2 linked regions of the Nothobranchius furzeri genome follow. The protein of the gene in region 1 purifies or fractionates together with the protein of each later gene. This does not show direct contact. Links are inferred from orthologs where the notes say so. Each region holds a gene or a part of one and is shown on either strand. Other genes may lie near its edges.

What was found.
Region 2: the proteins of poc1a (region 1) and nudc purify together in Homo sapiens (co-immunoprecipitation; 3 studies listed by BioGRID and IntAct, with this or other methods). This does not show direct contact. The link is inferred for Nothobranchius furzeri from reciprocal best matches to the Homo sapiens genes POC1A and NUDC.

What each region holds. Positions count from the first base shown.
Region 1 is NC_091743.1:62,509,660-62,513,478, forward strand, and holds part of poc1a (POC1 centriolar protein homolog A), read left to right. Parts: intron 1-443; coding exon 444-577; intron 578-3,819.
Region 2 is NC_091759.1:16,935,486-16,939,773, forward strand, and holds the start of nudc (nuclear migration protein nudC), read left to right. Parts: upstream 1-1,460; 5' UTR 1,461-1,593; coding exon 1,594-1,668; intron 1,669-2,397; coding exon 2,398-2,475; intron 2,476-2,583; coding exon 2,584-2,787; intron 2,788-2,855; coding exon 2,856-2,927; intron 2,928-3,005; coding exon 3,006-3,119; intron 3,120-4,279; coding exon 4,280-4,288. UniProt on the Homo sapiens protein: Plays a role in neurogenesis and neuronal migration. Necessary for correct formation of mitotic spindles and chromosome separation during mitosis. Necessary for cytokinesis and cell proliferation.

The sequences.
Region 1 (3,819 bases):
ACATTGACTCGCTGCCTTCTAGCTCGCCAAAAGATTGAAAGCGGAGTGTGTGCACAGTAAAAGCTGTGGAACGAACAGTTGACTTGTATCTTTAGTTATTATTCTATTTTCTTTAACTTTCTCATAATTTGATTAAAACCATTTCTTTTGTTTAGCGTTTCATTAATCCTACGGTTGTAGTGTTTGTAAAAGTTCACATGCTTTATTTTCAGCTGCAGTTTTGTCTTTTATAACTTGAAATCCTAATTAAATTTTCTGTGTTATAAGCTGTCTGAGAAGCTCTGAGAGACTGCAAAAGCTGCTGTTATATTCTGAAATCATTTTTTAAAAATCCAGTCATTTTATTGTTTTTTTTTTTCACATTCAGAACAGGTAAAGCTGTAACTGACGCAGGATTTGTGTTTGAAAAACAACATTAAATGTTTGTTGTCTGTGTCTTCCAGTTCACACTGGTATGGTGAACACTTTGTCTTTCCATCCTGCTGGAAACTTCCTGATCACTGCGTCCAGCGACTCCACAATGAAGATACTGGACCTTGTGGAGGGCAAGCTATTGTATACACTTCATGGACATCAGGTACACACACACGCACGCACGCACACACACACACACACACCACAAAATCCAACAATATTCTATTTTTAAATCCTACTGTTTCGTTGACATGACCAGTAAAGGTGAAGTCTGCTCTGTTTTCCTGTGTGTGTGTGTGTGTTTGATGCCTTTTTTGTGTATTTGGTGTTATTTTAGTACTCGGCCGGCGAGCAGGCAGCCCACTCATGATGACTCATCTTAGGATTGTTGGAAGGAAACAGAACCATGTTTCTGCCCCCATTCCTTTGGTTCTTCTCTCTTCCTGCTCCTACTACCTCTAGTTTTGTCTTGCTGTTGTTCTCGGACCTCAGCCCAGCTCTCTTTCCAACTTCATCTGCATTTCCCTTCCTGCGTTTGATCCTTTCACCTCTCTTTGTTCCACATCTGATGAATTCATGTTGCTGGCTGGACTTGCTGTCCTGACGGCGCACTGACTGTGTCTGTTTGTTTGAACAGCTGATGGACTGGCTTGCTGGCTAGTTGTGGAAATCGGTGGCTTGCCAATACCACATGTGGTCCGTCTGTTTATCTATCCCCCTGCACATGTTGTCTGTCTTTCATTCTGTCTTTTGTCTCTGTCACCTGTATTTCTCTCCTGCTTGCTTGCCAAAAACCACCTCTTTGTCGAGCTGGGAGGGGGGGGGGGGGGACTTTTGTTTCCTCTTCTCTCTTCCCACCTGCAGATTTGTCTTTTTCTGCACTTTGTTTCAGTGCCTGTTGTTCTTTTTGGCTCTGTGGTGACACAACCAATCTGCTGGTGCTGGGACCACTCAGAGTGTTAATTGGCTCTCCTGTCGCCTAGCTAGAAAGAGGAGAGCCCCCCCATCTGTTCAGCATGGGCGTGTAGGACAATGTCTCCACACACGTGTTGTGCTGTGTATCCGTGTTGAGTCGTGTGCCTGTACTTGTATGAAAACACAAGTGATGATGGACCTGATAAATATGTTGTTTACTCAGCCTCAGGAGGACTTTAAAGAGCTGGGTTTGATATATGATGAGTAAAGTAAAAAAGAAATGGAGGTTTTAAGGCAAGGCTGTGTGGAGTACTTCTGTGTAGTTGGTGCCTTCAGTAGACGGCAGTCAGTGATTACACATTAAAGAACCTTGGACAAATTTTCATAGAGGACTCACCCCGGGAAGTCTTAGCCTCCCAGGCTGCTGCCTCTGTGACCGGACCCTGGATAAGCAGCCAAAAATGGATGGATGGACTCACCCCGGATTTCCACTGGACGCGTAAGCATCAAGTAACGTAATAGACGCACTTTCCGTGAGCTCAGTGCGTTCCTTCCCACAGGGAGCATTTCAGACATGAATCCAGAGTGAAAAGCATTCCATGCAGTCAGTTCTGCAGCATCATGAATCCCAGGAGAACTCTAAGAGCATGCCACACGCGTGATTTTGGCAGTTCACGTAAAAACAAGCGAGAAGAAAGAAAGCTGCATGTATCCACAAAGGTCTGTAGTTTATGCACTCGTGTTTGACTTCCTGTTTGCTCTGATCTGAACTGAACTTGACGCATTCTGGAAGTGTATTGCATAAAAAATACTGCGCTTCTGGGATGCTTCCATAGTACACCACTTTGCAGTCATTGAAAACATACACACATATCTTCTTTAATGGCGGCTAATTGCTGGCCTAATACTACTGGCCTAGAAATCTAGACAAACCGTAGCAGCTGAAAAAAGGGTTTTCTCTGAACATTGGTGTAGCCATGCTCGATAGGAGCGCTACAGTTCATCGTGTGTGTGTGTGTGTGTGTGTGTGTGTGTGTGTGGGGGGGGGGGGTGTAGGCTCAGGAAGCCATTCATTAGCTGATTAGAGTGTAACACCTTTAGTCTAGAATATTGAACCTTTTCACAATGTTCTAATTGTCTGAGTTTGAATTTGGGGTTTTCATAAACTGTAAGCCAAAATGAGTATAACGAATAAAAGCTTGAAATTACTTGCTTTGCATGTAATCAGTCTATTTGATGTCATTTTATTAGTTTCCCCTTTTAAGATGGAATACTGAAATAAATGAACGTTTTTTCAAGTTTCACGTGCACGCTTCGCAGACGCTAGGCGTCACTTACCTGTCATCTAAATCTCAATTCAGATTACAGAATTTTTGTTGTGGGTTTTCTTCTTTTGCCCCTCCATCTTTGCATCAGATGGCATTTAGTTCATGGTTTGCAATGTGCTGTTGTTGCTGCAAACAAAACTATTAAGCAAATCCAAAGTATCCAGTTGATGCTAAATAAATTCTTGAATTAGCTTTTTGTTAATGGTTAGAAAATCTTCAAAGGTGGGGTACGACATGGGTTTTTTGAAGCATTTTGCCATACTTCTTGAAATGCTCTTCACATACCAATGGCAACCAATAAATTAAACGTTTTGTCAAAAAACTAATAGTTTATTCTCCTGTGAAGCATACGATCACAGACCGTGATGCCGTATGGGACCTGTCCACTTTCTGTGATTATTGTTCAGTCATCAGTAGGCAAAATAAGCTAGTTGTGTGTGTGTGTGTGTGTGTGTGTGTGTGTGTTCATAGCAAGTGCCAGCGCGCATTAGTCAGAACAGAGACAGAACATGCTGTCGGTCAGACTGTCGCGTTGCCATAGCGACACAGTCTGCTTCTCTCAGGTGCTTCTGGGAAACTGTCCTCACCCAAACCAACCTATCTGAGTTCCAGCCACAGGACACAGTTCTCCTTTTTACCTCTCAGCAGCTTATGTGGTCATTTCTTTTTCTTCTTTTACTTTTGAACAAAATTTGAAGTTTGTGAAGTAAAATAACAAATTTCTCGAGTTTTAACCATTTCTCAGTGCAGTCCTGTTTCCTGTAGGTCATCTTGATTTTGGCTCTTACCACAACTAACCCCACTCAACCTTTGTCTGTTCTTTTTGCTGAAAATTTTATCGATTGCTCAGCTTCAGCCTGACACACACATCCTCCACAATCTCCCACACACACACCCACACACTCGGGAGCTTTTGTTCTCATCATGCTTTTTTGTGTGTGTGTGTGTGTGGGGGGGGGGGTGATAATTCGGGACTCGCATTGACTTATGAAAGTATAAAAAATACAGATGACTTAGAATAAGGGTCCAAAAATAACCAGTTCTTGTGTTTTTAAGCTCACATATCTATAACCTACTCTTTTATATCTACACCAATAACACCTACACATCCACTGCATCTCTTGGGAGAGGAGATCCATTTAATGATTTATTTTATATGAGT
Region 2 (4,288 bases), on another chromosome or scaffold:
TCTCCAGTTAAACAAAGACAAGATTGAAGTTATTGTCTTTGGAAATATGATGGATAGGATTGAGGTTAAAGTTAAAGTCCCATTAGTTGTCACACACACAGGTGTGTGTGCAAAATTTGTTCTCCACATTTGACCCATCCCCTGGGGGAGCGGTGAGCAGCAGACACAGCCGCACTCGGGAACTATTTGGTGGTTTAACCCCCAATCCAACCCCTTAATGCTGAGTGTCAAGCAGGGAGGCATTGGGTCTAATTTTTTCCAAAGTCTTTGGTATGACCCGACCAGGAATTGAACCCTGATCTCCCAGTCTCAGGGCGGACACTCTCCCACTAGGCCACTAAGAAAGGTCGGAGCTACGTTATTGCTCAACTTGGCTCCAGAGGGATAGAAACAAAGATCCAGGTTGGAAATCTGTGGTGTCATAATTGACCTCGGCTTTACTGGTCACATTAAGGCTATAACTAGATCAGCATTTTATCATCTTCACCATATAGCATGACTCAGAAGTCTCATGTTCAGGCCTAGACAAACTCATTCATGCGTTCCATCTCCAGCAGGCTGGACTACTGTAATGGTCTTGACTGGTCTTCCCAAAAAAGCTGCGAAATAACTGCTGTTTATTCAGAATGTTGCTGCTAGAGTCTTAACAAGATCCAAGAAAACCAAACACATCACTCCTGTTCTTAAATCTACACTGGAACAAAAACACAACAGAAATGCTCATTTTACTTTGTACTGCTCAAATACTGGAAGTCTGAGAGGCATGTAATGACATGCATACTATTGCACAATACAGGAGGCTGGAGCATAGTATTTTTGAAATAAGCTTACCCTCTCAGGCTCAAAATAAGTTTTGAACAACTTACTCCTTCAGGGGTACTTCTGAGTTAAAAATGCTCATCAAAAACTGGTGTGAAAAACTATTTGCCCCTTCCTGATTTCTTATTCTTTTGCCTTTTTGTCACACAAACTGTTTCTGATCATCAAACACATTTAACCATTAGTCAAAGATAACACAAGTAAACACAAAATGTAGTTTTGAAATGATGGTTTTTATTGTTTAGGGAGAGAACAAAATCCAAACCTGCATTGCCTTGTGTGAAACAGCACAGCATGTTAGAGGTTTTTAAAGATGGAGATTAAAATAATGCTATTCCAGCCATTACTTTCTGGTTAAATACATCACAAACCCCACGGTTAGGGCAGATTTTAAACAAACTAGATATTAATTGGATTTCGATTTCTTTTTTTCTTGGATGTTTTCCATATTTACCTATTTCTTTTACAGTTCATGTTTTTATGACCAATAACTGAAGTTGAAGTAGCTTTTTTTTCATGAGAATCTCAGTTTATTTTACAATCACGTGACTCTTCTCTAGAAAATTCTCACGCCTCTGTCCCGTTTTACCCAATGCTCTCATCTAATTGGACAGTTCTTTTGTCATCTACGATTTCTTCTTTCTATTGGTCAAGTAAACCGTGGGCGTGGCTTGCTTCCAGGAACTAAGTGTGACAACGAGTTTTCTCATTATTGAAGAGCTATCTTTTTTTTTAGTAGCGTGGCTAATAGTGAACGTTTCTACCAAGATCATTATGGGTGACGAGGAGGAAAAATATGACGGGATGCTGCTCGTCATGGCACAACAGCACGAAGGAGGAGTACAAGAGGTAAGTCAGCGTGATGCTACAGCTATTATGCTAGTATTTAAGCTAACATGTCTGTCACGCGGACGACGCAGTGCATTGTTCCTGTTGGAGGTTGATGCCTTCATAAACATTCTGATAGCCAAATGTCTTGTTGCTGCTGTTTTGTACAAGATGAGTGAAGACAGATTTTTGCAGAAAAATCTAAACACGTTTTATGCATGTTTGATTAATTGGCTTAAAAATACGTAGAGGTAAAGCTTTTTCACGTTGAAGGGCCTAGAAAACAATTAGAAGTGTAAAGTGCTTGAAAATGCCACATCAATTTTCAAGGTTTTATTAAGTCCTTGAAAGTGCTTGAAAATGACTGACATTGGTTTTAGCTTTATAATATTTACAATTATTAGACAAAGTACTGAAATAATCATTTAGTATTTTTTCATGTATAAATCAACAGTTCTGGGTAGTCTTTAAAACTCGCCTTGGGAGTGCTTGAATTGAATTTAGGCAAATATGTTATAATACTGATATTTCTTTGTTTTAATTAATAAATCCATAAGAAAAAACATTCTAGGGTTTTAGATTTATACAATATGCCAATATTTTAATATCTGCAGAGTGTGGACATATGTTATTCAGACCACTTTAGCCATGACAACATCTTACTTTTGCTCTGTAGAAAGTTAACGATTAATTTTCATGAGAAATTTGCTTCTCTCCCCCCCCCCCCCCCCCCCCCCCACCCCCCCAAAGTTAGTAAATACATTCTTCAGCTTTCTACGACGCAAAACTGACTTCTTTGTTGGTGGGGATGCAGGAGCTGCAGAGAAGGTGAATATTGATTGTTATTATTATTATTATTAGGCCTCTGGGATGATTTTGGCAGAAATAACCTCATTTATTCATTTGCTTCCGATTTTCAACTCTTATCCCTTCCAGCTGGTCAAGGATTCCTTTGATCACCACAGCAAGCTGGCTCTAAAGGCTCACAAAGAGAAGCAGACGAAACAGGAGAGGGAGAAGAAGGACAGAGCTGAAAGAGCGGCCAAACTTGCAGAAGAGGAGAGGAAACATGAAGATGGGCCACGAATTCAGGAGCTGACTGATGAAGAGGCAGAAAAGCTTCAGTCTGAGCTTGATAAGGTGGAACCTGGATGCTTTAATAGTTTGACACATTAGAACAGAATGACATATTTATTTGTTGAAAATAGAAAAAGGAGGAAGAGGAGAAGCGGAAGAATGTGACGGCAGTTGAAGAAAAGATGGCTGAGAAAGAGAAGGGGGTGAGTGGACAACTTTGAGGTGTTTATGAGCAGTAAAATGAACTTTTCCCGACTTGATCTGTCTTTTTTTTTATTTAGTCTGACTCTGACGGAGAGGAGGACGAGAAGGATAAGGATAAGCTGAAGCCTAATTCAGGAAACGGTGCTGACCTGCCAAACTACAAGTGGACACAAACTCTGTCCGACGTAGACGTGAGTTGTCTAGTTTGGGTTTTTGTTTGAATGTAGTAGGGCTGTAGCGAAGCCTCGACAACGTCGACGGCTCGATTCTAAAAATTCGTCGACGTCAGATCCGGAAGTCGACGCACCGCGCCCACTTGTTGCATCCCCAGGAGTTTGTAAATAGAGGAGGAATCTGCCTGTTTTTTCTGTAGTTCGCCCTCTTCTCCGCCTTCACTAACATCTCCGCCAAATACCGAAGACCCGGAACAACGTCCATCCGCTACTAGATTCCTTTCCTGTTTTGCCCGCCTTCGTCTCCCGGCAACGGACAACAACTTCCGGGGTCAGACGCGCTGCTTCGTGTCTATCGCAGATGTAGAAAATCACCGGGAGCGTTTCTCCCTTCATTAAGGAGCTTCTTTCAGACATGAGGAGAGCTGTTTTGGTGGTAGCAGTCTCTCCTCCGTGCTGGTCTGTTTGCTGCTGGGTGTTTTTGGTTTATTTAAACTTGGTAACTTGAACTTAATGTTGGTAAAGCTACTGTTAGCATCTTCGCTAACAGCTTCTTGCGTTGGGATAAGCGGTTACGTTTTGGTTTAGAGTTCATCTTTTTTGTGGTGTAGATCTCCCTTTTATTACATTTAGAGTGTTGTGGGTTTTCGGTTTAGTGTAAAATATCACCTTGAGTTTGGTTTAACCTGTAAGACCACTCGCCTCACGCACATAAGTGACCAAAACAAAGCAGCATGGAGACACTCCATCTTCTACCACCTCTCAGGCAGCAGCCTGCACTCCCAAGTTCTACACGTCACCAGAACATAACCAACCGCAACACAATAAACGCAGTGTTATACAAAATGGAAGGCCTGTAGTGTTTATTCTCTTACAGTAAGAATTTATCAATTTTTTTGAGGAATTTGAGATTTTCTGGTTTTTATTAACTGTGCAATAGAAAAATAATCATTAGATTAATTGTGTAAATAGTCATTAGAATAGTCGACTATTGGATAAAATAATCGTCAGAATAATCGTTTTAAAAATAATCGTTTACCCCCAGCCCTAGAATGTAAACACTTCTAGGTCTTCATTCATATCTCTACATTCATGCATACAGACCAAAGTGATCACATCTTGCAGCTTTTTATTTATTGCTTGACATTCGTTTTTGAATTTTGGAAATTCTCCAACAGCTGGTGGTG